2 linked regions of the Lytechinus pictus genome follow. The protein of the gene in region 1 interacts with the protein of each later gene in a pairwise test. Links are inferred from orthologs where the notes say so. Each region holds a gene or a part of one and is shown on either strand. Other genes may lie near its edges.

What was found.
Region 2: the proteins of vacuolar protein sorting-associated protein 51 homolog (region 1) and exocyst complex component 7-like interact in a two-hybrid assay, tested with the Drosophila melanogaster proteins (2 studies listed by BioGRID). The link is inferred for Lytechinus pictus from reciprocal best matches to the Drosophila melanogaster genes Vps51 and Exo70.

What each region holds. Positions count from the first base shown.
Region 1 is NC_087256.1:24,416,496-24,426,518, forward strand, and holds the start of vacuolar protein sorting-associated protein 51 homolog, read left to right. Parts: upstream 1-5,345; 5' UTR 5,346-5,386; coding exon 5,387-5,476; intron 5,477-7,220; coding exon 7,221-7,309; intron 7,310-8,056; coding exon 8,057-8,213; intron 8,214-9,363; coding exon 9,364-9,467; intron 9,468-10,023. UniProt on the Drosophila melanogaster protein: May act as a component of the GARP complex that is involved in retrograde transport from early and late endosomes to the trans-Golgi network (TGN).
Region 2 is NC_087254.1:33,360,746-33,371,430, forward strand, and holds the start of exocyst complex component 7-like, read left to right. Parts: upstream 1-5,979; 5' UTR 5,980-6,200; intron 6,201-10,500; 5' UTR 10,501-10,570; coding exon 10,571-10,621; intron 10,622-10,685. Other genes in the region: cytosolic Fe-S cluster assembly factor NUBP2 homolog, read left to right, coding at 412-483, 1,078-1,160, 1,567-1,677, 2,070-2,139, 2,499-2,644. UniProt on the Drosophila melanogaster protein: Required for exocytosis. Thought to function in intracellular vesicle targeting and docking before SNARE complex formation.

The sequences.
Region 1 (10,023 bases):
ACATAGCTGCTGCATAATTAGTGTGATTCATTTTTGTTTTGTCAAAATTATCTCATCGGCGATTCCGTTAAAAATGCCCTATAATGGGACCTATAGAGTTACATGTATATTTGTATTTTACGTGCATTAAAGCCACCGACAAGCTATGAATCGGCTTGGAGAAGACATGCACGCAACTATAATAGAGTCTATAACCATGGACCTACTAGTACACAGTAGTAACATACAGACAATGAGGCATTCAGCATGTTCAGGGTTTCACATTCAAACCGCTATACGCAATCTATAGCGTAACTTCAATTGAAACGGATTTTTCCTATTGTTAGCTGCTTTGTGATTTTCACACCTTCATCCATTGTTCTCAAAACGTGCTAGACGGCGTAATTGACCCAATTCAGGTTCAAGGGGTCGTTATATAGGATCGTTGACTTCAACCAAGGACCTATAGATGTACAGTGCAGGCACATTATGGCCCACTCTAGACCGTTGCATGAAATCACCCGAAATATGTTAAATATTCATGAATGCATAATGAGGGCGCGAAATCTGATGATATTATGGCCTGAAATCTGGACATTTCAAGCACCTTTGTAACTATAAATATGATGCATCAAGTTAATATATTTAATCATTAATGCGAACGCAAACCGTGAGCCAATTTTTTTGATAAACTGTCATGAAAAGGGGATTTCAAGTAGTTTGTTGTATAATCAATATTGAGACATACATAACTCGCCAATCAAAATGCAAGCGTGCAGCGCTAGCTGAGGCGCGATAGCTCAGTCGGTAGAGCGGGGGTTTCGGATTCCGGTGAACCGGGTTCGATTCCCAAGTGGTGCGCTAGTGCCCTTTGGTAAGGCATTTATCCTCATTACCAGGTCCCTCGGAGAGGACCTTAAGCCGTTCGTCCCCTGGTTGCTTGCTCACAGGCATTCGTGCTTTCTTAGCAGTCAGGTAAAACAACCTCGGTATAACCTTGATACGATTTGTCACCTTCAAACAATCTTAAAAGATGTCCTGATAGATCGCAAATAATTATGAAAGGCTACCAACTGACTTCTATTTTGTCTTATTTACGTTTCCAACTTGTCGAGAAAATGCATCTTTAATATTTCTTAACGGATAACAGGGGATCATAACGAAAGGTATATCAAATCTATTTTAACTTGTTGACCCCTAAAAACAGCTTTAAAACATGTTGTGATAGATCGCACACCCATTTGAGACGTTTGTGACTTCTATTGTTTTATTTACGTTTCCAACATCGTCAAGAAAAGACGTATTTAATATTTCTTAACGGAGAACAAGGGATCATAACGAAAGGTATATCAAATCTATTTTAACTTGTTGACCCCTAAAAACAGCTTTAAAACATGTTGTGATAGATCACACACCCATTTGAGACGTTTGTGACTTCTATTGTTTTATTTACGTTTCCAACATCGTCAAGAAAAGACGTATTTAATATTTCTTAACGGAGAACAAGGGATCATAACGAAAGGTATATCAAATCTATTTTAACTTGTTGACACCTAAAAACAATTTTAAAACATGTCCTGATATAGATCGCACACCCATCTGAGATGTGTTTGACTTCTATTCTGTTTTATTTACGTTTCCAACATCGTCAAGAAAAGACGTATTTAATATTTCTTAACGGAGAACAAGGGATCATAACGAAAGGTATATCAAATCTATTTTAACTTGTTGACCCCTGGAAAATTTTTCAATCATGCCCTGATAGATCGCACACCCATCTGAGATGTTTGTGACTTTTATTTTGTTTTATTTACGTTTCCAACATCGTCGAGAAAAGACGTATTTAATATTTCTTAACGGAGAACAAGGGATCATAACGAAAGGTATATCAAATCTATTTTAACTTGTTGACACCTAAAAACAATTTTAAAACATGTCCTGATAGATCGCACACCCATCTGAGATGTTTGTGACTTCTATTTTGTTTTATCTACGTTTCCAACATCGTCGAGAAAAGACGCATTTAATATCTCTTAACGGAGAACAAGGGATCATAACGAAAGGTATATCAAATCTATTTTAACTTGTTGACACCTAAAAACAATTTTAAAACATGTCCTGATAGATCGCACACCCATCTGAGATGTTTGTGACTTCTATTTTGTTTTATCTACGTTTCCAACATCGTCGAGAAAAGACGCATTTAATATCTCTTAACGGAGAACAAGGGATCACAACGAAAGGTATATCAAATATAATTTAACTTGTTGACACCTAAAAACAATTTTAAAACGTGTCCTGATAGATCGCACACCAATTTGAGATGTTTTATTTACGTTTCCAACATCGTCGAGAAAAGACGTATTTAATATTTCTTAACGGAGAACAAGGGATCATAACGAAAGGTATATCAAATCTATTTTAACTTGTTGACACCTAAAAACAATTTTAAAACATGTCCTGATAGATCGCACACCCATCTGAGATGTTTGTGACTTCTATTTTGTTTTATCTACGTTTCCAACATCGTCGAGAAAGACCTATTTAATATTTCTTAACGGAGAACAAGGGATCACAACGAAAGGTATATCAAATATAATTTAACTTGTTGACACCTAAAAACAATTTAAAAACATGTCCTGATAGATCGCACACCCATCTGAGATGTTTGTGACTTCTATTCTGTTTTATTTACGTTTCCAACATCGTCAAGAAAAGACGTATTTAATATTTCTTAACGGAGAACAAGGGATCATAACGAAAGGTATATCAAATCTATTTTAACTTGTTGACACCTAAAAACAATTTTAAAACATGTCCTGATAGATCGCACACCCATCTGAGATGTGTTTGACTTCTATTCTGTTTTATTTACGTTTCCAACATCGTCGAGAAAAGACCTATTTAATATTTCTTTACGGAGAACAGGGGATCATAACGGAAGGTATATCAAATCTATTTTAACTTGTTGACCCCTAAAAACAGCTTTAAAACATGTTGTGATAGATCGCACACCCATTTGAGACGTTTGTGACTTCTATTGTTTTATTTACGTTTCCAACATCGTCAAGAAAAGACGTATTTAATATTTCTTAACGGAGAACAAGGGATCATAACGAAAGGTATATCAAATCTATTTCAACTTGTTGACACCTAAAAACAATTTTAAAACATGTCCTGATAGATCGCACACCCATCTGAGATGTGTTTGACTTCTATTCTGTTTTATTTACGTTTCCAACATCGTCAAGAAAAGACGTATTTAATATTTTTAACGGACAACAAGGGATCAAAACGAAAGGTATATCAAATATATTTTAACTTGTTGACCCCTCGAAAAATATGTATCACCAATAAATATGAGATGCTACCAACTTCTATTTTGTTTTATCGACGTTTCCAACTTTTTCGAGAAAATGCATCTTTAATATTTCTTAACGGAGAATAGGGGATCATAACGGAAGGTATATCAAATCTATTTTAACTTGTTGACCCCTAAAAACAGCTTTAAAACATGTTGTGATAGATCGCACACCCATCTGAGATGTTTGTGACTTCTATTCTGTTTTATTTACGTTTCCAACATCGTCGAGAAAAGACGTATTTAATATTTCTTAACGGAGAACAAGGGATTACAACGAAAGGTATATCAAATATATTTTAACTTGTTGACACCTAAAATCAATTTTAAAACATGTCCTGATAGATCGCAAACTATTCTGAGATGTTTGTTACCTCTATTTTGTTTTACTTTCCTTTCGTCAATTACATTTCGTCATGGAGAACGGGAGTTCATAACGAAAGGCATACAAAATATATTTTCACTCGTTCGCCCCTCAAAACAATTTAAAAGCATGTCCTAATCCGCCACCGTTTTGCTTGCGCGACTCTCGTAAACACGGATTTTTTTTTTTTTTATTGGTACTTTGTACTGGAAGCTAGCCCCAGGCAACCCCTATTCCCCCCTCTCGTAGATCCGCCCGCACCTCACGCGCTGCATTCGCTGCAAAGCTTCGCTGCAAATGTTGATCCGACGTGCACGCCGAACACTGACCTCATTTTATGTGAAGTGTACGCTGGCGCGCTGTGTGTGTGTATGTGTATGTGAACCTGCACTATTCAGTGTATTCTCGTGCGACGCTCCGGCGGATTAGCCAATAGCGATCGAGATAATAATTGCCCCGTTCCCCAGCGTGTACGGATTATGCAAATTAGATTTAATGTAGAATATAACGGTACTTCGTACTAATCTCTTGGAACTCCTTTGCACACTCTCATTATGGAACAATGGCTATGCACGCGTTGGAACGCATTTGGGGTTTTGACGCCTCGCCTAAGCATTACAAGTACTTGATCGAATGCAGAGGAAGTTCAGCAAGAGCTGAAAACAAGGTTTGAAGTTTTGGGTTCACTCAAGCATAAGATGTGCATACTGTGTAATCTCAGTGAAACTTACAAGCAGTCCGAAAAAGTAGTGTCCAAGAAACTCTTGTATCTTTTCTTTTATTCAACTTCACAACTTCACGACAATTTTTTTACAGTATGAAGAAGAAGAATTGCTCTTTCAGATAAGCCATTTTTCTAATTTTTGTTTTTTGGAGACTAAATTACTATTTTGGCTATTTACAGAGAACCTAACCTGGCGACTTATTGGTGGTTTGGGGGTGGTAGGTCACATATGTATTCATGTGGTCATACTACCTCAGGTCTGATGAACCCATTCCTACAAAATTCAAGGCTCTAGATAGAATGACCCATATGTTGCATTCATTTCTGATGACAATGCTTTGTCAGTATCTACTTTGAATTATCCCAGATACTACTCTAAAAGTGCATACACAAGAATCTTGCCACCATGTAACCTGTTTTTATTATTTACATACATGTATATGCGAGCTTCAGTTTCTTATAACTCAATTTTTTGAAGGACCTATTCTTTGGATAATGTACCATATTCTTTAAAAATATGCCGAACCTTCAATTCATTCAAACATTATTACAAATAACATCTTTCAAGTTTGTATTCTTAATTTGCTGTATAATTACGCTATTCTGAATTTACGTGTTAATATTTGTTTTCATTTATGTTATCTGTTTTTGGAATATTAATTATTTTTGTCTTTATAGATGTTGGGTCAACGTTCAATAAGGCTACCTGCTCTTTTTTGTTGGCCCCTCATTCTCATAAATATGTTTTTTGTATGTCATAACAATGTTTTACTTCTATATCTTATGTATGTTTTTCATGTTTGTTTGTGTTTTTTTGAGAATGTAAATGAATTGAATTGAATCTATATGCTACTTGTAGACTTTGTGATGCAAATTCTTTGTCTACATGTATATCTACTTTGATTTCTCTCCCAGATACTACTCCAAAGCGCGTGTTGTCCTACTTCAGTACCAGCACATGCCTTCATTCCACGGTATCCATAGAGACTGCAATGAAATCGTCAATGAACTAAGGCTCAAGTTAAGAGAACAGTTCGGGAACAAAGAGGTAAATGTTCTATCATTCTTAAAAGGCTTAGTCCCACTCCACTTACGGATGCAGAGATGATGTAAAATGGAAAAGAATCTTGCCATCCGTTGGAAAACGTTTTGTATCCGTTGTGTACTCTTGGCATACATGTATCATACGCTCTATATCCATCGAGCATCCATCCACTGTTATTTCATTGTTCGCCCATCTTGTCCATTGTCTGGAGTGGATGAAACCGGATGGAGCCACCCCAAAATTTTGCTTGTCCGCTGTATCCGTTATGAATACGTTTTTGTGTCCTTCGGCCAGTGGGACCAGGCCTTTAGATTATTGGGCAAAAACTTTGCCGTAATACATGTAAACTTGAATCAAATATTCGCCAAGGTCAAACCAATTTTTTCATGCCAGATTAGGCTACACATCTTTTATAGACCTCTTCTAAGGCACATTTCTCATTTGAACAAAACAGATTTGTGGTCCGAATAGATTGGAATTAAGAAGCAAAGTTATCTGCATTTTGAACTGATTGTAAATAGCACTTCTGTTTACACTTTGAGTCGGGTAACCATATTTACCACATCATTACACTTTACTCAGATTGCAAAGTCAACCTGGAATTTTGATTGAAAATTGTTAGATTCTGTGTTATTATCTTTGAATTCAATCCTCGATCATATATTAAATTTTATCTACTCTGTAATTACTTTTACATAGTTATTATTCCATTGTCTGATGCTAAACAGCTTGCTTGATGTGTAGATCTGTTGCTTTTAACCAATAATTGTGTTATCACTTTCATACAATATTAATTTCTTAGTCTGATGCCAAACAGCTGGCTTAATGTGTAGATCTGTTACTTTTAACCAACTATTGTGTAATCAATTTCATACAGTAATTTTTATGGCTAGTCTGATCTAGGCAGAATGTTACACGTGTGTTTAACCAAATATTGTGTAATCACTAGTTTCATACAATGATTATTCCCTAGTCTGATGCTATAAAACCGCTAGCTGAATATGTAGATCAGTTTCTTTTAACCAACCATTGTGTAATCGCTTACAAACAATGATTATTCCCTAGTCTGATGCTAAACAGCTAGCTAAATATGTAAATCAGTTTCTTTTAACCAACCATTGTGTAATCGCTTACAAACAATGATTATTCCCTAGTCTGATGCTAAACAGCTAGCTAAATATGTAAATCAGTTTCTTTTAACCAACCATTGTGTAATCACTTTCATACAATGATTATTCCCTAGTCTGATGCTAAACAGCTAGCTGAATGTGTAATCTGTTTTTAACCGATGTTGTGTAATCACTTTCATATGAAGATTATTCCCTAGTCTAATGCTGAACAGCTATCTGAATATGTAGATCTGTTTCTGTTAACCGACCATTGTGTAATCGCTTACATATACATGTAGTATTTATTTCCTAGTCTGATGCTAAACAATGTGTAGATCTGTTGCTTTTAACCAACTGTTGTATAATCAATTTCATACAGTAATTATTATGGCTAGTCTGATGCTAAGCAGAATGTTACATATGTTTTTAACCAACCATTGTGTGATCTTTCATACAATGAATATTCCCTAGTCTGATGCTAAACAGCTAGCTGAATTTGTAGATCTGTTTCTTTTAACCAACCATTGTGTCATCATATACGTGTAGTAGTTATTCTCCAGTCTGATGCTAAACAATGTATAGATCTGTTGCTTTTAACCAAATATTGTGTAATCTTTCATACAATGATTATTCCCTAGTCTGATGCTAAACAGCTAGCTGAATGTGTAGATTTGTTGCTGCAACTCAAAGAACCACCCGATGAGCTCTTTGATGAGTTTCTTTCTCAGTAAGTATGAGTAATGACTTCTTAATGAATTGACAGCTTTAACTATGTAGACACTTTCTTATTATTAGACTTGTTTCTTCAAAGTAACTGTCATTGTAACTTTCAATATATCTGTAAAGCGCTTAGAGATGTTCCGATGTATTAATCGCTATATAAAAGCAGATTATTATTATTATTATCATCATCATCATCGTCAGGATCATCGTCATCATCTTTTTCACTTCATATTTCCTTTCTTTTAACCGCTTAGAGGCAATTTGTGGTATACAAAATGATTATTATTATTAATTATTATCATCGTCATCATCATCAATCATTATCATTGTGACTTTGCCATTCTATGGTAACAATGCTCAACAACCACTCAAGTCTAGGATTCCAAGGAAGTTACAGATGGATCTCAAAGGTACCATTATCGTGACTCTTCATTAACAGACCCCAATGGCCCGATGTATGAAATTTTACTATTAAAATCATCACTTCACTGGAAAAATGATATTGATTTGTAGGTATTTATTAAAGTATTGTTATCAAGGTAGTTGGCTAGTTGCATTAAAGATACCAAAGTTTCTGTAATAGTAGCTTTTTTAGGAAATTGGCAAGAGGTTATATTGTCCGTAAATGATGATATTGGGGATTTTTGGGGAGTGGGTTATGTTTATCTTTATTGAAGGAACGAAATAATTTGTTAATTTCATGTAATGAGTGTATTTAGACTAAATTTCGTGTCTGTGAATTCACTGACAGTGCCCGACACAAGTTGGATGAGAGTCTGAGGGAGATGTCAAGTCATGTGAAGACTGGTAGACAGCGGACCGCATCCAGCCCTGAGGAAGATGAGGATGGTGTTAGCAATCAGGAGGGGGAGAGACCCTCTGATAAGATCATGAGGTCACTTCCAATGGTGAGCCTAACTTTTGTTTTGATATGTTTCTCCCTCTGGGCCTCCATATCTTCATCGCTCTGCACATTTCTGTATTGTTGAAATAGAATATTTGTGTGTGTATTGTGGTGTTTTTTCAATATCCTGTGTTTATTGGCCTCTCTTTAAAGGAGAGGGACATCTCATAGTATACACATAGAATGCACGTAAGCGCATGCATGCAGGGCTAAATAATGAACGATGTGCGAGAAGAGCCAATGGATATTTGGCGAGTTGAGCACAGAGTTCATTATTTAGGTCCTCTATGCACAAGAATGCGTGCATTGTTTGTTTTGTACAACCCCCCCATGTTACTGAGTTGCCCCAAATGCTATATTTGATCTAAATTCTAGATAATTCCAGACCTCGCACTATCCTGCACTCTGACGTCAGAGTGCAGGATAGTGCATATTGGATGCAATAGTGCAATTCGCTGAATATCATGTGATCCGATTTGGACCAATCAGATCACAGAACACTCTTGGGAGTTGTATAAAAATATCTGTTTGATCGGGAGACCCAAGAAATGAGACGGATGATGGTTTCAATGTATATAGCAGGTTCTGTCTTATCGAACATTAATTCAAACATTAACGCGAGTTGTAACATTCTCCATATGAGTTTGAAAAGAATCCAGTAAATTTATATGTGTGAAAAATCATATCTGTCAAATGATTGTGGTAGAAAATGCGTAATTACTAAGATATTGAAACAATAAACATGGCTTTCCAGGCAATAAAAGCCTGGTCCCACATGTGGTTATCTGTGTTGGTGAGGTTCGGTGTGATCATTTTCAGCATAGATTTCATGGATTCAGAGAGTTAGGTTGATGTAGATGAACCTGATCTAGATCAGTGATGAAAGATGACAGTTAGCCTGAGCTGTAAAGACTTATGTTTGCTGCAGTTGTACTCATCTTCGAGAAGAAAGCTTCCTCAAGAGAAATTATTACAGGAAAATTCTGTGTAATTTGTAAAACTGTAGTTGCTTCAAAACTCACTCTAATTCCCCCACCCAGGCACAGTACAGGTTGATTTCCAAAGGCTTTCAACTATAAACCCAAAGTTAAAATCTACTAAGATCCCTATACAATGCCAACCTCCTATGATAAAGTTGTGTTTTATTCTTTCAGGATATATTGGAGTTTGTTGACAGCAGCTGCAATGGTTTTCTTGAGAACATCTGTTTAGTAATAGCCTCATACAAGGAGCTCTTTGTGAACAGGCAAGCAGGAGAGTAAGTACATATTACTGATATTTTTGTTTCATTAATAAGATAAGATCATGGTCCCATTGATTGTGTTAATAACAAAATGCAAATTTCTACATGTTTATTGTTAGCCAATCAAATGGAATGATTTCAGAAGTTTTTAACTGTTACTGCAAGTTTCTTATTATAACAAGTTCTATGAAACAGGCCGCAGGTTGATAGACGAAGAGGGAAAATGAGGTTATTCCAGGCCTGAAAATAGCCTGAGGCCTTCAGCGCCCCTACTACAAGGCTTCGATGCCCTCTTCCTTCTGATTAAAGTTGAATTTAGGCCACCTGCCTCTTTTAAAGCAGATACGAACCATTAGCGCCATATCGAGTCCTCAACTACTCATACCTGGCCAGTTTCCTGACCCATAATGCCAGTGTAGTCTAGTAATATAGACCCACTTGAATGATAACGTGCTAATTAACTACTCAGTACATTTATACTGCAATAATTATGTTACCAAGTAGCAAAGCAATTACTTTTCCTCTCAAAACATTTTAGTTTCTCTGTACAAATACAATTATAGGTCAATTT
Region 2 (10,685 bases), on another chromosome or scaffold:
TTGTCTTCATGATATTGGCCCCAGGTTTCTACATTTTCATGCTTCTTTCATCAGGAGTCTTGTTTGTGATAAAGAAAAAAAAATTATTGAAATCATTTGATTTGACTTGAATACTTTTCATTCTTTTTAAAACAAAATCTCTTATCGGTCCATGTCTAACAAATTATAAAATTCATCTGACTTAAAAAGCATATTACATTATAGAACAGGAAGATATTTTCTTCATGACTCCTGTGTTGGCATAGGTTGGTCCTATAACTCTGGAACTAGTATTAGTAGTATTAAATTGTGTGATGAAGAAAACTATATCAAAGAGTTTAAGAAACCATGAGAGATGAGTGCACGTACAATATATCTGCAAGTATTTGCTGTTGATTTTCACATCCAGCGTCTTTTTTTTCTCTCTTTCAGCAATGATAAAGCAGTTTCTGACTGATGTTGTATGGGGTGAATTAGACTACCTTATTATAGATACACCACCAGGTTGGTATGATTCAGAAAGCAAATTATGAAAGTTTGGTAATTGGTTGTCATTTCATTTTACTCATTTTATTTTACATAAATTCTTTAGCATTTACATTTTTTTTACTTTTCCCTTTTTTCTTTCTTTTCCCTTTTTTCTTTCATTGGCAATGGAAATGTATCAGAAATTGTTATTTGAATAATGTATTCACATGTAAAATTGCCATTATCCAAATCATGAGCAACCTTATTTTGTACATTGTTGGAATGTTTGAGCAATTGATTTTGAAAATATTTAGATTATTTATTTAATGAAAAAGAGTTGAAAAATATATCTGTTGTAAGGGGTTATTTTGCCTCGAAATCCCCCTATTTTTATTTTTTTTTCCACATGGGATCAAAGCAGTGCATTGACCAAGATTTAAAAAAAATGATACTGACTTCATGAATCAACATGTCAGAATTTTCAACATGCTGGCATTTTTGTATGAATCATTGCCTGATTGTAACAGTAATTTTTGGTGTAGTGATTTCTTGAATCATTGTGTTATATTGCATAATCTGTTCATTGTATATTTACATAATCTATTACAAAATCTGCTTATTTTATAACAGGTACATCAGATGAACACATCACAGTGGTAGAGAATCTCCAGTCTCATAACCCGGATGGTGCTGTCCTTGTTACAACTCCTCAGGTAATTCAGGCTGGCCTATGACAGTTGTTACCTTTTATTTCCCGATTTATAGGAATCCCATGCTTTTTATAGTATTGCCTTATACATTCTCGTTATTTTCATTTACAATGGAGAGGGGAGAATTATATGAAACCATTTTGAATCATCACCTAATTTCATTTGGGAGTTATCCAATAATAGGTTTCTTTAATTTTGACACTGCTCTTCTATTGTAATGTATTCTTCCCCCCTGATGGATTCCCCTCATTTTAACAATTCCTAAGCCCTCATTTGCATGTTCATAATTTGCTCAAGAATCATTTCTTTGCCCTTGTACCTATCATGAAAAATGAATAAGATGGATTATTAGATCATTTTAGATGTGTGATTAAGCTATTATAATATTGTGGGGTTTTATCCTCTGCAGGCAGTAGCTGTAGGTGATGTTCGAAGAGAGCTAACATTCTGCAGGAAGACGAAGCTAAGAGTGTTGGGACTGGTAGAAAACATGAGCGGGTTTGTCTGCCCTCACTGTTCAGTAAGTATCTGCTTGATGATACATAAGGGAAAATAATGCATTAACGTACCCAGCCCTACCCTAAAAATATCCCTGACCCTACGTTTTTTCCTTTGTACAGTTATCGATAGAATCAATATCACATATCTTGCTGACTTTGCGATCGAATTGAAAAACGGAAGTGACGTGTGTTTGAGCCGGTGCATGAAATATCTCAGGCTTTGGTGTATGGGTAACCAGTTAATACAACAAATTGATCCTGTCTTTAGTGAGTTGTTTGTATGTATGCATGACTTGTGTGTGTATGACTGCGAGTGTTGGGGTGTATGTGTAGATATTGGTATCAAATACACTTTTCAATTTAAATAATTTTCACTCTTCTCCCCCCCCCCCCTCTTTTTTCTTCTTTGAAGGAGTGTTCCAATGTGTTCTCTCAAGGAGGTGGTGAATCACTGGCAAAGGAATGTCAAGTTCCCTTTCTAGGTAAAGATGGTTTTGCTTTTGAATTTATTGTTCTTTTTATTTCAAATGATTACCATAATAAAATAGCCACTATTTATATTTACATTTCTTAGATTAATTACCATAATGAATACCTCAGATTAGAAATAAGAATGAAGAAAAGTGGTCAGCTTGAAAATATTGATAAACAAATTACAAATTATAAATAACACATAAAAATGAAAATGAAGGGCTTATTAGAGATTAAAGATGATAAATTGAAAGTTACAGTGATATTTAGTAATTTAAAGGGGAATAAAATATTATCCCAAGAAATCAGGTGTTTTCAGAGAGCTTATTTTTACATACATGAGTCTTCTTTCATTTTGTGTATTTCACAGGTAACATTCCACTGGATCCTCAACTTGCGAGCTGCTCTGAGGGTGGTCAGGGCTTCATAGAGGCCTTCCCATCATCCCTGTCAACACAAGCCATCCAAAGCATAGTTGAAGCAGTCATAGCAAGCACCGATACAAGTACGACGTGACACATGCTGCCTGGCTACGGGAATACAAGTACTAGGAACCGTTTATATAGTTTTAATAGTTAGGAATAATCCATTGCCAGCAGTGCATGGCACAGAACCTTGTCAGTGCTCAACAGGCTCTCAAAGTCTGAGTGACAGAGGCTTCGCAGACCATATGATGGAGAATGAAATACCATTGGTGAGAAAAAGTGAACAGGATCAAAGATGAAGTATAATGAAGATACAGCCATATTCAGCTCATTATTCACCTTGTTAATCATCTTTAATACATCAAAGGAATTTATGATTAGTCAGACTGTATCTTGAAGGTAGTGGCTGAATTGCTCACAATTTGCATTCTACAAACTTATATCATTTTAACTCAGTTAAACAAATGCATGAGAAATTTCTGATAAACCTGATTTCTTCTCATTATGGCACAAATGGAACAAACATGGATAAATCCTTACCAGATTTTATGATGATAATGGCATTCTTGGTTTATAAAGCAGTGTCATTGAAACCTCCAGAATTGATTAGTCCTTCAATGGTTTGAATATTTGAGCTATTTAGTAGAGTGCTTCTGTTATCACTCTATTCAAATGTTTGATCATGATTATTCTGCAACTCAGAATTTAACCATGTAGCCATGATTCAAGTATGTTTTACCCCCATTTTGCACACAACAGATACAATTTTTTTCTTTTAGAAAGTCCCCTCGTTTTTTCTTTCTTTTATTTTTTGCAGACAGGGGTTGCATTCCAGGTACATTTTGGCTAAACCATCTCCCTTTAAATGCAGAATATTACAAAATAGAACCAGAAAAATAATTGATTACGAACTCATTAAAACAACTTTTTTTCCTCAAAATTTGATGCATTCGTTGTAAATAAACATGCCCAAAAGACCCCTCTTTACACTGTAGACAGTGGAAGATTTTGTAATCCTCTTGGTCGAATGAGCATTTGGTCAAACAATCACGTTGTCTAATACTTATGTTGTTACCAATAACACTGAACATGAAGAGTTTTAAGTTTGGACATATCTTTAACCAAGTTGAAATGAATTATTTCAAATTCAGAGTTGAAGTCTTTAATTACTAGAGTGATGATGAAAATATGTTTAGCTGATTCAAGCAACTCCGCTTCCTCTGTCATGTTATCCATTTCAATGTTAACATTATTTTTTACCAGTTTGTATTCTTTTGAATACCGGCCAAGGTATATTTATTCAATTTCATCCCGGAGTTTATTTACATACTTGAATTTTTTTCATATGAAATTATTTACCACGTCAAAGTTACAAAAATTCTTGACATAAATACAAATTATATCAGTCAAACACATCTGATGTAAAGACCTAGATTTATTTGTTGTTGATTGTTGTTTTTCTATTCTTGACTTGTTCCATTACCCTTAATTTATTACACTTTCTGTAAGACTGTTTTATAAAGCTATCTGTTAAAAAGTGATATTTTTGCATACTTTATAATTGAGATTGCAATATTATGTACATGAATGTATAAAATTTGAATAATTTGAAAAATGATTAATGAAGTTCAGTTGTATTGATTTGACAGAGATTACTTAAAGAATTTGGGTATTTCACAATCTGTTCATTATCATGAGAGGCCTACTTATCAATTTTGGAGTCAGCAACGTTTTCCCAGATAGCACAGGCTTCAAATGAAAATGGAAAAATTAAAGAAATACCGGTATTTAACTGAACAAAGAATCCCAAGTTCATGGAAGAAAAAGGATCGATTATTATAGCTAGCAGTGAGATCCTAGGAAAATAGTTTTGAATTAGGGGCCAGTAACACATAGCTCAGCAATCATCATAGAAAGAATATCTACAAATGATTGCATCGACTACAATGTGCAATCAATCTAAAAAATCAAGCTTATGATTAATTGCTAATGTTTGTGTTACCGAACCCAGGAGAGAAACATGGTGTCTAATGCAGGGTGTTTAGTGCACTGTGGTTGACCACTCTATCAGGATTAACATGGAGGAGTGACATGATATGGGTGAAATGATTGTTAAATGAGTGAATACAAAAAGTGATGCTTTTGGTAAGAAAAGGAGAGTGGAGATGAATGTGGATATTAAAGTCAAAGCATAAGTAAGGTTGGGTGTATTCAATTGTTATATTAGAGTCACTTTGCAAAAGGAGTTGCAATCAGACGCAACTAAAAAAATCAATTGCAACTTGGATTTTCAATCAATGAAAGGAGCGTATTAGAGACTTGATTTGGATTCGAATTCAAATCTTTCTGCTTTTTTTTACGAAAATAACTAATTTCTTAATTTTTTTTTGGTGAAAACCTTTTTTTTTGGTCAAATTTTCATCGGATGAAAACTCCCCCCCCCCTTTTTTTTTTGCTTGTCAAGTTTTCAATCAACTCAAAAATCCTGCGTACACTACTGTTTGCAGCAATATTCCCCAACCATCTTCAATCAATTTAATCAGTCCTATCTCTCCCTACTTGCTTCTGTATTTAGGGTTGTCCGTAGTTTCTCAAACCAGAAAAATGAATTCAAACAAAAGAAAAAAACAAGTAAAGGATTTTAATTAAATTTCCAACCAAATAAAAAAAACTAATGTTTACAGTTTTCTAATAGATTAGAGTGTTACTCCAGTCTGAAAATAACATGATCTTTGGAGCAAGAAACAAGAAAGCTTCATCAAAATCTATTTTAAAAAAGTTTATAATATCAATATTTTTTTTTATTTGTGCAAAATTTTGATCTAAGTGCTCTTCCAATTTTGATGAAACCATATCAGTGTTTTGTTTCTCTGATATTTACCATCTGTTCTAATGTTATAATTTTCAGCCTGGATTATCCCTTTAAAACTCATAATTTTGTATGCATTTCTTCTGAGCTAACACATTCTCATGAACTTTACACACACACATATAATACCATTCCATTATTTTTAAAATCCTTGCCTCTGTGCATGCCTGATAGGGGTGGGTATAGGCAGACAGAGGAGTAATTAATTGCTACCTCTTCCATCCCAAGTATTTAAAAATAATGATTTTAGCAATTTTTATGCAAATTGTCTAAAAAATATCCTCCCAAATTAAGTGTGCATGGGATCAAGCCCATGCAGATGCCATAATAAATCCTGCAATTATACTTCATAGGCCTAAATCAAAATGTAAAAAAAAAATATTAACTCCCAGCTTGTTTATGTTTCTGAATACTTTTAAATTTTCTTGCCACTATCAAAATTCCAAATTGTGGCCATGTCCCATTATCTTGTTGTATTTCTGTGTTTTAGGGTTTGTCTGCACTCGAGTCACCAAGATTCTGGCTGTGATGTCATTTTTCTTTGTTGTTCTGAAGACACTGTATGTTTAAATTTTTAGTAGAAATTGATCGCTGTATTTATTCGACGGGGTGTTGGAAAACCAATGGAGTACGCTGTTGAAGTAACAGCAGATAGACGTAAGGGTACCGTACCCGGTACGTTTGTTATGTGGATTTACGTGAATGGGTCAGGCCAGGAAGAGGTCAATCATAGATAGGATCGCCGAGTTTGCATGCAGTAATTTTTGATTTTCCACTGGTATGTATTTTGTTTGATTTTATGTGCTTGTACATTATAGTCTACTTTTCTGTTAACCCAGAGAGCTCCCGCCCGCACAGCGGGCGGGAGCCCAGAAGCTTACCGTGTATTTTACCATTGTCACCGGACTAGGGTGATTTATGGTCTAAATATTTCTCCAAATGAATTGTGAAAACAGAAAGTATACAATTACCATGATTATATGGATGAAGGTCTAACGAGTGGCAGATTCCTGACATCTGGGCACAGTCTGGAACCTCAAAAAAACGAAAAGTTCTCTCCTTCTACCCCGTCTCGATCGGCCATTTTTGTTAAAAATCGTAACAAAATGGCCGATCGAGACTGGGTAGAAGGAGAGAACTTTTCGTTTTTTTGAGGTTCCAGACTGTGCCCAGATGTCAGGAATCTGCCACTCGTTAGACCTTCATCCATATAATCGTGGTAATTGTATACTTTCCGTTTTCACAATTCATTTGGAGAAATATTTAGACCATAAATCACCCTAGTCCGGTGACAATGGTAAAATACACGGTAAGCTTCTGGGCTCCCGCCCGCTACGCGGGCGGGAGCTCTCTGACTCTGGGTTACTTTTCTGTTGGATTAGTTATTTAGCTCTGATTTTGTTAGAACTCATGACTGAGTCTTAACTTAAGACTTTTTAGCTTTGTCTTTGTTGCCGTTGGGAGGAGCCTCTCTGGGCCTGGACTGGCGGACTGGCTGCTCGCCTCTGCTACTCCGTCTCTCCGGGAAGCTCCGGGCTGCGTAATCCATGGGTCTCCGATCTCCGTTGCGTCTCAGTCACAGAATGAAAATCGCGGCGCTAGCTCTAGCGCAGCATAAATAATATGAGTGGGGTTGTTTTTGTATGGTCAGTTCCCCCATGTCTGCGCGGTCTCTCAAGTCTGCGCACCCGCGTATCTGCGCGATTCTAGTAAAAGAAGATACGCAACGAGCAAGAACTTTACACATGCAATACATAGACAGGTATTCATAAAAAATCTGACTCAAAATGGTGGAAAAATAATGAATTCAGGGCATTTCATGTGACGGCCTCAAAATGCAGCCTTTGTCATCAAAATCCCCAAATCGTGAAAGTGAATGAGTGCGCAGACATGGGGTACCATTTTTTTTTCAATCTGAAAATGACTGCCCAAAGGTTTTTTCAAGAAAATCTTATATTTTCTTTCATTTTTTAATGAGAAATTTGGTACACTTACTCTTAATAATATAAGGAACACTATTAACCAAAAGATTTTGTGAAATAAGAAGAAATTCATGTTAAATCTTAACTCAAATTGTTAGGTGCGCAGACTTGGGGCCCACCATCATAAATAAGGCGCTAATATTAAATGCAGTTTCAGACTTACACATTCATTGGCCAACAACCTGACGTCTTTGACTATGAAAGTATGATCAATGATGATTGATGGTGCCTTGGGCTTGGTGGCCAAGTCTGCGCACCTACCAATTTAAGTTAAGATATAACAATAACTAGACCAAAAGCTTCAGTCTCTGTATTTTGGTTGTTCCGCTGAACTACGTTGGCTCCACTCACCATACATAGACTGAAGGGGATGGGGCCCCGTACCTACAGCCAACGTATAGTGAACTAGCGTTTTATAGATCGCGATTTAAAACTGTTTTTTAAGCAAAATTGAAAGTTTCATGGTTTCCATTATCAGGGAAATATATATAACTTAAGTAATTGCATACCTTGGGCCGGAGTTATTGAAAAAAATCCTCTGGATGATTGAGAAATCTGTCATCTAAGACATTTTCACCTGACCTGACGGTTTTTCTTGCAAGTTGCCATCTTGAATGACGTCATTGTCGTTATTAACTTAATGTCTCGAATCGATATATCGCGATTATAACTAGTACTCGTACTAGTATAACTAGTATCGTTTATCTTCGGTTTCGTTCGCATATGGAGCAGATCGTATAATATCGAAAGCAATATCGATATCACATTCGTGATTGTTGACGTTCGTTTGTAAATATTTTATAGTTTGGCTGCCATTTTGACCATTTTTATCGTGTTCAACCCAATTAAACATCGGTAAAGTATATTTTTCATGCCTTTTTCATCTATATCGTTTAAAGTATTTAAATGTTGGAATATCATCAATTAAAAGTTTGTTGTTTATACATCCTTAGATTGTAAATTCGATGTGTAAAATTACATCAAACTTTGGACTGTGAATTGACAAAAGGGAGGGAATGAGAACACATGCGAGCCCACACGTACACCCTACCGTCGGTAAATGGGGATTACAGTAAAATGTCAGAAATTGTTGAATAAATCCCCAGAAACGACGGATATTCCTGTCTAAACAATAACAACATGATTCATGAATTACTTTTTCTTTCACAAAATCTTTCAGTTAACATTAAAATAATGATGTTCCTTATTTATATTATTATGAGTAAGTGTACCAAATATCTCATAACAATTTGAAAGATATAGGCCTAGGCCTATAGGATTTTCTTGGAAAAAACCTCGGGCTGTAATTTTCAGATTGAAAAAAAAAATGGTACGGTACCGTTACCCCATGTCTGCGCACCCATTCACTTTGCACACGATTCAGAGATTTTGATGAGAAAGGCTGCATTTTGAGGCTGTAACATGAAATGCTCCAAATATATTATTTTTCCACCATTTTGAGTCAGATTTTTTAATGAATATCTGTCTATGTATTGCATGTGTAAAGTCTGTGTTCGTTGCGTATCTTTTTCTACTAGAATCGCGCAGATACGCATGTGCGCAGACAAGGGGGACTGCGCAGACTTGAGGGAACTTGCCATACTTGAGTCAGGAAACTTATTTCACCTCAGTCAAATTTTGTCTGAATTTTTGCCAAAAATATCGCAAAGGCTTTGCCTTTGATCCCTTAACAGGTAATCATGGTAATGGTTAACCCAGGGAGCTCCGGCCCGCACAGCGGGCCGGAGCCCAGGGGCTTACCGTGTATTTGACCATGATACTCACGGGACTAGCGTGATTTATGGTCTAAATATTTCTCCAAATGAATTGTGAAAACAGAAATTATGCACTAACCGCAATTATATGGATGAAGGTCTAACGAGTGGCAGTTTCCTGACATCGAGGCACAGACTGGAACTTAAAAAAAACGAAAAGTTCTCTCCTTCTACCCCCGTCTCGATCGGCCATTTTTGTTATGAATCGTAACTCCCCAGAGCTCCCTGGGTTAGGTAATGGTGTGTGTAGTCTGTAGACAGCTGGCAGCCGTCTGTTTCAAGGAGTTTTTTAAACATTTTAATTTTTTTTCTTCGTACACAGACGGCCTGCGATCGTGCAGCCGCCATTAGGGGGTTAACAATGCAAAATCCCCCCGACGGGGCTCATCGATTTTTGTCTTTATTTCATGAAAATATATAAAAAGAACTGGACCTAAATAAAGATTATTCTATTCCGTTTTGGCCTGAAATGCACCAAAATGGGAAAAAATAAACTTAAATAATAATAATACTATTCAGTTCTTTTATAGCGCATAACACATAGCAACGCATGTCCCTATGTACTTGGATGAAATTAAGGAAAGAAATTAAAAAGTACAATGTACTTCGGCTGTCGCGCAACTCCCACTTCCCTGGTTTATCCGAACTTAATACATAAACATATGGCCATTGAGTCCCTGTACAGATCGAGTTAGAACTCTGGTCTCTGTAATTGGTGAGTGGAGCCAACGGAGTTCAGCGGAACAACCAATATAACAGAGACCTAAGCTTTTGGTCTATGGCAATGTGAACCCCTACCCTACGGCCTACAAAACTCCTAAGTATTGGAAACAAAACGAGACCATTGACAAGTATTCCCTGAATGGGCACCTAAACAAGTACAACGATATCTTAATTGTTATGTCACGGACGTGATCATGGATGTCGGCTTTACCTTTACTTTTCATAGTACCACCCAAGACACCTCTCTTAAATCGGACCCTAAACACGTAGTGTTGGGGCAAAAAGTAAATCCTTTATAAAGTATTTTAGTCTTTTTATACCATCGCAAATTGGACCATAAACACATAGTTTTCCTAGCGAAATATATATACCCCTTTTTCATTATTTTAGTGTTTTCGACACTCTTATTACGTTACGTATGTAACATGCCCTGTCTTGAAAAAAGAGATCCTTTTTACATGTTTTTTTGGTCACGTATGGTATCCACTCGTCAATGGAAGTGGCCCCACGCGGCCCCACCAGCCATGCACAAGTCAGATTTAGGCCTATTGAATTATCATTTTTCATATAGCAGGATTCACTTTGGTTTTCATTTCAGGACTTGTAGGTGACCAGCTGATGCTAGAGTGTATCTTCCAACGTTGAATTGATATCTATCATCTGCAAATATGGAAGATACTGCACAAAAGATTCGGATGATAGAGGAAAAATTGGCAGTTGTAAGCAAACAATAATTTCTGCTCACATGTATTGCATGATTTATAGAAGTCCATTCTAAAATTG